2 linked regions of the Macaca fascicularis genome follow. The protein of the gene in region 2 interacts with the protein of the main gene of each other region in a pairwise test. Links are inferred from orthologs where the notes say so. Each region holds a gene or a part of one and is shown on either strand. Other genes may lie near its edges. The genes, in order: YWHAH and TNFAIP3.

Region 1 (4,398 bases), on a different chromosome or scaffold from region 2:
AAGTTATGGAGAGAAGCAGGGAAGAGAAGTTCTCAACAGGTTTGAGGCAAGACCATTGTTTCCAATATGCACGATTTTTCTTCAAGCTTACCAACACTGTCCTCCAGGTGACGCTGGTAGAATAAGGAACATCAATCATTACAGGAAGGCAGTATTATCAGGTGAGCATTTTAATTGTGAAGGAAACAGAAAGCAAGTTAGAAGACCGAAGGCAAAACTGACTTGTTAATAACATCACTACTTTTATACTTCAGAGGACCTAAAGCCAAGATTAAGTTTCAAGGTTACAGAGTGGTGGCATCAGAATATATCCTCAACACAGGTGTCCTGCTCCATCCTCCCTACAACAGGCTACTTACCTCCACAGCTCTGAACAAAGCCCAGGTAAACCCAGAGGGTTACTGAAATTTACACCTTTTCCAAAAGAGATTAATAAAATAGAGACTGAGTCATCCCAGTAACATTAAGAATTTAATCTACAAACACCAATTTAGCAGGGAAAGTGACTCCTGCCAGTCCTTTCCAACATATTATTTTTCTTTTAAAGAAAATATCTATAAGCACAATATATTACATTGAGATGATGGAGGAGAAATGGTTTATCACAATTCTGAGATGGCAGAATTAAAGCTTGGATTGACTCTTCAATGCTGGCTGGCTTTTCCAACTCATTATTTCAAATATAGATATTATAGATTCCTTTGGTTTACAAAAGGCTACCTTAACCCTCCAGAGAAGATCTATGGACACTAGTAGCTAGCTGCAGGAAAGCATTTTACAAGCCTACTAGAAAGCCAATCTTTTTCTCTACTCAAACTAGATTTTGTTCTGGTAACATCTCTCCATTCTTGCCTTTTTCCCCCATTTCAAGTTGCTTCAGGTTTCTGATTGTTTCAGAACGCACCTTCTAGCCATTTTTCCTTCACCTCCATTCCCCTTCATTTAAACCTTGTCCCTCCTTTCTTTTCACATTTATTTCCCAAAGGGCTCCTAACACTGCAGTCTTTACGTCTCACTTAAGAGGGTGAGCAACCACTTCATGAAAATGTGTGGCGAGGCCTCAGCCTGCATAATCCCAGCACCACTCAGTAACTGGGGAGGAGAGTTTTAAGTGTGACCTGCTGTGGACAGAGGCAGCTGTATCCCAAAGAAAATTAAGGTTCGGGATCCCTTCCAAGGAAATGCATTCAGTCAGCCCCATTTCTGTACAATATGCAAAAATTATATTTTAGATTTTCTTTTAAAGGACCCCCTGAATTACATGAAGTTCAGCCTCCAGACCTAGACGGCCCCCCCCGGTTTGGAAGAAAACCTCCTGCCTCACCAAAACAGCATGCTAATAGTGCTGAAGTCAAGATCACCCACAAATCAACATACGGGCAACAGTGTGGCTGGTCTCCAAACACACCCAGTTGTGTGTAACAAGGACACCACAGGAAAGGCAACTCTTCAAGTACCTTTCTTACCTGAACAATCCTAAATATTAGCCCCAACTACATATTTTGTCTGACATTAAGGTCAACAGCCTTCAAATGAGCTTTCCAAATGACTTAAGATTTTAGGGAGCCTTTGTATTTGCAGTTTTTTCGCAACTCCCTCCAAAAGGCCAGCAAAGGATACATTTACTATAGTCATGGGCAGTAATTCTCAGACTTAAGCCAGCTAAAAATCGCCTGTGAGAGCTGGTTACGATGCAGATATGAGTCTCACCCCCGAATTTCTGCATCTGTAGGTCTAAGGCGGGGTTCAAGGGGCTCCTCCCAGGTCTCAGGAGGTTGTACACTGAACATAGCAGGATGGTGGCCGCAGCTGTAGTTCTATCACTGTGTGACCTTGACACAGTGAGAGGAAATACTCATTTAGAGAAAACGTAAAAGAACGTGAAGAGTGAGTGAGATGGTAACCGGAACTCAGAAATGCAGGTGGTGTGTGACCCACGGTATTTTGCTAGGGTGTGGCTGGGCACGACTCCTCCACCGGAGAAGAAGCTGCAGAATCGATTTATAAGGGTCTCGGGAATGCAAAGGCACACAGATTAGTCTCACCTAGAAGTCACGTTTCATTTTAATCTCCAGGCAGACAGCGCAGCAGCAAACCTGGGGCTGTGATGGGCCCCACACCCTCCGCCCCCTCTCTCGCCCTCGTCCACGCCTAGACTGCAGGAAAGGGGTCTTCGCACACAAAGCCAGACCCCCAGGAGTGGGAAGATGAAACCAGAACAATTCGAACAAGCAGAGCAAAACAGATCGGAATTACAGACTTCAGGACGTAGCAGAGAAAACCAGCTGAGACAGGGCGCCACTCACTAGGTGATTCTTTATTCCAAGTTGGGGAACGGAGGAAGACGAGAGGGGGGGCCCCCGGGTCCGGTGAAACGCGCTAGTAGGAGGAATGTGGCTCCTTCACGACCCCTAGGGCACCCTTTGCCCCCGCCCGGGATCCGAACTAAGATGTGGCGACCCCGGCCCGCCCGCCCCCAACGGGGCTGCCGCCGCGACCCCGAGATGCACCCTCCCGGATCCCCCAGCCCGGGCCCAGCCTCAGGAAGTGGCGGGGCGCCCAGCGGGAGCGGGAAGCGCGGGCGGCCACGCCCAGCCGGGTCGTGGGGTCGCCCATGGCCGGGAGGGGAACGCCGCCCGCGGCCATCCCCGTCCCTCCCCAAAGCCAGGCCTCCCCGGCCAGCCGCCTGGGCTCCCGGCGCGCTCACCGCCTTCATGGCGGAGGCCATGTCGTCGTAGCGCTCCGCCTGCTCGGCCAACCGCGCCCGCTGCAGCAGCTGCTCCCGGTCCCCCATGTCGCTCGCGGCTCGGCCTCGCTTCGCGCCTCACGCCGCTGGCTCGCTTGCCCGCCCGCCGGTCAGTCCGCTCCCCGGTCGCTGCGGAGGCCGCCGCCGCGCACGCGCACTGGCTCGCCGGCCGACCCGGAGGCTGCAGGCTGCAGGCAGCGCCGCCGCTCGCGCCCTCTCGCTGGCTCGCCCCGCGCGCTGTGGCTCGCGCCGCGGACACCGCCGAGGGAGGAGAGGCGGTCGCGCTGGGGGATGGGAGGACGAAACGACGCCTGCGCAGTGAGAGTGGCCAGGCCGGGCGGCGGGGAGCGGCGGGAGTGGGAGGGGGGAAGGGCGGGCCGGCCCTAACGGTCTATTTCAAGGTGACGTCACCTACTATAAATAGCCACCGCCGCCGCCGCCCCGCTTGAAAGCCGCGCAGGCGCTCTGCGAGTGCTGCATTTTACCGCCGCAGAGATGGAGGTGGAGAAGGGAAAGCCAGGCAGGAGACTGCGGAGCCGGAGGAGGCGGCGCGGTGATGGCGGCTGCACGGGGAGTGCATTGTCATAGCGCCACCCTGAAACGCACCACTTCAACCACGTTAGCGATGTGGTTTGAGAAGGGCCCCAAAAGCAAGCAAACCTACCCGCGGAGAAGCCGGGAGGCCGCGTGCCCCAAGGGGCGGGTCAGCCCAGCCCCGCCCCGCCCCGCCCCAGCCGTCCCGCCCGCCCCGAGCCCTGCCTGTCCGTGGGTTCTGCTAGGCCACACCCTGTGCTTGGGTCTGCACTGGTCCGGGCAGAATCGAGTCCGACCCTCGGGGACGGCCCCGCCACACACACAGACACATGCAGTCGCACACATCCTGAGACATAGCCTTGGGCAGGCTTGTGCCTTCCACCAGAGGGGACTGGATGACCAGGCCGAGACAAGTAATATTCAGGACACATTAGGAACCAGCCCAGGGCTAGTCCCGTACGAGCATTCTCCTCTTTAATCCTCACTACCCAGCCCACGTGGACACAGCTGGTCTCCCCATATTTAAAATGTGGAACCTGAGGAAAAGCAAGGTAGTGACTTGCTCAAGTTTACACAGCCTGTTAAGTGGTGGGGCCAGGATCTGAGTCCAAACCCAGGCTGGACTTCCTCTTGTGGCAAAGAGCTGGGGTGGCCCAACTGGCTGGTCACTGAGCCCCTCCCAATCCTGGCTGGCATTGGATACTGAGGGTTCCTTGTGCCAGGCCCTGGGCTGGGCTGCCCGACAAGCTAGGAATATAATGCTTAAAACAGGGCCCCAACTGACTTCCAACATGCCAAAGGCAGTGTAGGAGAAGGGGCCTTGGGCTCGCTGAGAATTTACTGAGCATCTACTGCATGCTCAGCCCGCAGGGATAAGCTGGATCTTGGAGTAGAGTCAGGAAAGAGATTAAGGCCTGGGGTACAGCATGGGCAAAGGCTTGGCAGTGACCTGGGAGATGGTGAGAAGAGAGGCCTAACAATGGGAAGTGAGGTTGGGTAAAACAAGATTACGGAATGTTTTAAATGCCAGGTGGAAGATTTGAGGCTTCATCCTTAGGTAATTGAGAAGCCATATTTCAGGCCTGGAATCTTGCTCTAGAGAGTAAGACGTGTTTGAA
Region 2 (3,811 bases):
ATCTGCCGGTGAAGGCACTGGCATGGCTGCTCTCTAATTCTAAGGAAGCGCACACAAGGCTGCACGCACAAACCAGGAAGCAGACATGGCTTGCTAGACAGGGATGGTCTGGCTGTGACTCAATGGCAAATGACTTGACCATTCCACTTTAGCCTTTGGGCCCTGGGAGTTTCCTCTCCTGGTGTGTAAAGTGGCGTTGACAACACTGAATTACCTATGGCCTGCTAGTCCGGCTCTCAAAAATGCCTTATGCAAACCTGCTTGTTAGTAACTGTAAAGTACAAAAGTTAAAAAGCACCTGGGTGTCTAAATTTGAAAATAATTCAGTGTTTAAGGCTGACATTTTGAGAAAAAAACAAAAAACAAAAAACAAGTTTAATTGTATGCCATTAATTTGTGACATTTCCAGTTTAAAACTCACAATTCAATGGGCTGCATTTTTTTCAACCCCCAAACAATAAATCTTTTGGGGGAATGTTTAAAACAAAAAACGTTAACTCCTTAATCTCCTTTGGCAAGTGCAAAATACTTTTTATAAAGAAAAGTTAAACTGTTTCTTATATTACTCTATAAGTAGGGCAATAAAGTTATTTGAAATTTTATCAAATTGTAATTATAGTCAAACTGTAAAGAAACCAAAAAACCTCAAATATATATCCACAGCCAGTATTCCTTCAATTTATACATTTAGAAAAACTAGCTAAGTATTCAAACAAATGAACAAAAAAGATCACCCAAGCCTTGTGTCTTGGCAGACGTGTAGCAATGATTGCATTCTGTTGAAATTTCCCCTTTGCAAAATCTAGAGCAAAGATAAGGCTTTTTTTCTTCTTGTGCTTACTTTCAGTTCTTTATTGAGATGCACCAGTATAAAATTCCCTAAGTAACATCTGGAATTCCCCAGTGCTAAGTTATTTGACTAGCAATTGAGCAACAGCTATTGTACTTTTTGTTCTGGTGTGTAGACATTTAAACTGCGAAGTGCACCCTGGACTTTCCAAGTGGGTGTGGTCAGGGTGAGCTGGAATAGGGCTACTCATTATACAAGTGAAATCGCTGCAGCCAATAGACGCTGGAATTTTTCACATGAAGTTTCAATTTTATGCCACCTACTCCCTTCCTCATTCACCACAGTCTCATATCCTCAAATGCAAACTTGTGAATCACCCCCTCCCCAAACAGATATTGCCTTTGAAGAACCCTCCTATCAAGGGAAGGATTAATTTTTTTTAAAAGGTGCTAATCAAAATCAAATTTAAAAAGTCATTTGTTTTCCTCCCCTCCCTAAATATCTTTTCTTCGTTTTTTAGAATCTTAAGGAGTTTTCTTGAAAGTGAAGAAACAAAAGGATTCTGAGTCCAAAAATGATTTCCCAGAAAATGTTACACAAATACACCTGCTTTTGTAGTTTTATTTCTAGTGTGGCTCCTTGTTGATTTAAATGACATATTTGCAAAATAAGTGTTTCCTATTTATATTCCTTTTTTTTTCCTAGTGGAAATAGAGCATTTCCTTTCTTAAGGAAATAAAGCAAAAAGTCAGTTAATTCTCTTAATAAGGTTTTCCCCTTTCTACCACATTTTTAATTCAGCAGAATCTTTGTTTCTAACTCCCCCAGAGTTGACTCCATCTCTTTTTGGTAACAAATGGGAGAGGATTAAAACCACAAATTGTCAGGCACATAAACCCCGTGATGATGACTTCACATAATTACCTACCTCTATGTATCACTTTATTTAATGCCAAGAACAATGCAGACAGTAGCCATCCCCAGTTTTCTTTCTATGTATGTTTCTAAGAATCAGTGTTTCATAAGTCTAGGCAAGATGTTGGGGTAATGTACAAGAGTCCCCAGAATCAAAATTTAAAAACCCATGTCCACTAATCACTCTAAGTTACCCAAGTCAAAAAAAGCCAAAGTTAATGTACCAATGAAGTTAATTAAGTTAGTGTTCTTATCGTAATCATTGTCAACAAGGATTTTCTTCCCTTGGACATATTATTTCTATTAGGATGGCTTGGGACTGTCACAGATATAAGGACCTGAGATTCCTGCTCTTATGTAGACTATGAGCATTTAATTGATCTTGTACAGTCTACTTGCTTATTGTCATAATTATCCACATCCATAGAGTAGAATTTTGTGCCTGCATGGAGCAGTATGCTCTGACATTCCTGTTAATGCACATATTCTTACCCAAGGGAAATGATTAAAAAACAAAACAGTAAAGCTTGGAATAGGAAATAGCTACTAGTGGTAAAGGCCATTGGCAGAACAGCACAGACAGGAAGGAATTCAGTGACTAAGAACCCCTAAAAATAATGAAGGTGAAGTCTAAAATTCATGCTAAAAATTTCAGCTATCTATTTCACCTTGCAGGGCATAGGCAATAGAACCTAGGTCAGAGAGGAGGAGGAGACAAACGAAGTTCTTCATGTCTTCAACAGCCATTCACTGGTTAACCCATAAAATGCTACCAATTCAAGAAGTGTAAGAACATCACAAGCATTTTCTAATGACAGTGGGAAACAAATGTACTACCAGTTTTCACACCATGCTTTCCTTTTGAACTTAAAGGCTTGTAACATTTCCATTACGGGCCAGTGAAGGGTATTTTACAGATGATTAAACATTTGCAAGAATGAGAAACAAATTGCCTAATCGGGGTATGGTGTTTACAAATGCATTCTCCAAGCCTCAATGTGCTCTGCAATATACGCAATCAGAAAATATCCTTAATAAATAGATTCACAAAACAAGTCTGCTATTATCACATGCCCCGAATAGAGATTCTATACTAAGGTCTCAATACTAAATCTCAAGACTGATTTGAGCTTGGGCTTGTGCTAGTAAAGCTTGAATGGGGACCCAGCAGGCGGGAGCTATCACCCAGGCAAAAGAAGCACAACAGATCAAGTTTTACCGTTCGTTTTCAGCGCCACAAGCTTCCTGACTTCTCGACACCAGTTGAGTTTCTTCTGGCTTTCCAGGGAAGCCTGGATGTTTTTGTCGATGAGGGCTTTGTGGATGATCTCCCGAAACTGAGGACAAAACTGGCAAGTTCTGAACATTTCCAGTGTGTATCGGTGCATGGTTTTAAAATGATGAATGATCCCATTAGTAGGTTTAAAAATATCTTCTGGAGTTCTCTCCCGTATCTTCACAGCTTTCCGCATATTGCTCAAATACAAAGCCTGAGGAAGGACTTGTTCAGCCATTGTGCTCTCCAACACCTGAAAAGGAAAGGAAAAAAAAGCCATTCCATTAGCCTAACTTTAATACGACTCCTATATAGCTGCCTGCAGGAAACCCCAGTGTTTGATCTTGTCATTACCCTGATCTGTAGGCAAAAGATCTTAGCACCTCTACTCCCGGGATACTAGCTGGCCCCAGAGATTAACTCACACTGGACTGTTTTAAGTTACATCACTTGAAAAGATTAGCCTAAACAGGAGAAGGAAGGCAGAGAGTGGGTACTGAGGAGGAGGGGAATAACCCGTGTTTTCAGTAACTTTTGTCAGGGAGCCAACCCTGTCTGACAGCAACAGGTACTGCTCCTCAAAACCAACGTAAGCTCCTGTTTCATTCTGAGGCCACGCTGAACAGCGCTGGATTTGGGGAGTACCGGATGCCAGTTAAGGGCTCAACATAGCCCTGACAAGTCTGTAGCTCCTCCCCTCAGACCACCACCAGGCAATCCTACTCTTGGGCCAAATCTTGAGTTATCACTCCCTCCCCTATGCTGGAAGGACAGTAAAATACTTTATGAAAAATCTTGCAATTTTATGCTGTCACTTAGGCTGCTGGCTG

What was found.
Region 1: the proteins of TNFAIP3 (region 2) and YWHAH interact in a two-hybrid assay, tested with the Homo sapiens proteins (2 studies listed by BioGRID). The link is inferred for Macaca fascicularis from reciprocal best matches to the Homo sapiens genes TNFAIP3 and YWHAH.

What each region holds. Positions count from the first base shown.
Region 1 is NC_088384.1:19,679,836-19,684,233, forward strand, and holds the start of YWHAH (14-3-3 protein eta), read right to left. Parts: upstream 2,988-4,398; 5' UTR 2,795-2,987; coding exon 2,708-2,794; intron 1,830-2,707; exon of another isoform or gene 1,621-1,829; intron 1,494-1,620; exon of another isoform or gene 1,467-1,493; intron 114-1,466; exon of another isoform or gene 92-113; intron 1-91. UniProt on the Homo sapiens protein: Adapter protein implicated in the regulation of a large spectrum of both general and specialized signaling pathways. Binds to a large number of partners, usually by recognition of a phosphoserine or phosphothreonine motif.
Region 2 is NC_088378.1:41,910,953-41,914,763, reverse strand, and holds part of TNFAIP3 (tumor necrosis factor alpha-induced protein 3), read right to left. Parts: intron 3,612-3,811; exon of another isoform or gene 3,336-3,611; intron 3,235-3,335; coding exon 2,925-3,234; intron 1-2,924. UniProt on the Homo sapiens protein: Ubiquitin-editing enzyme that contains both ubiquitin ligase and deubiquitinase activities.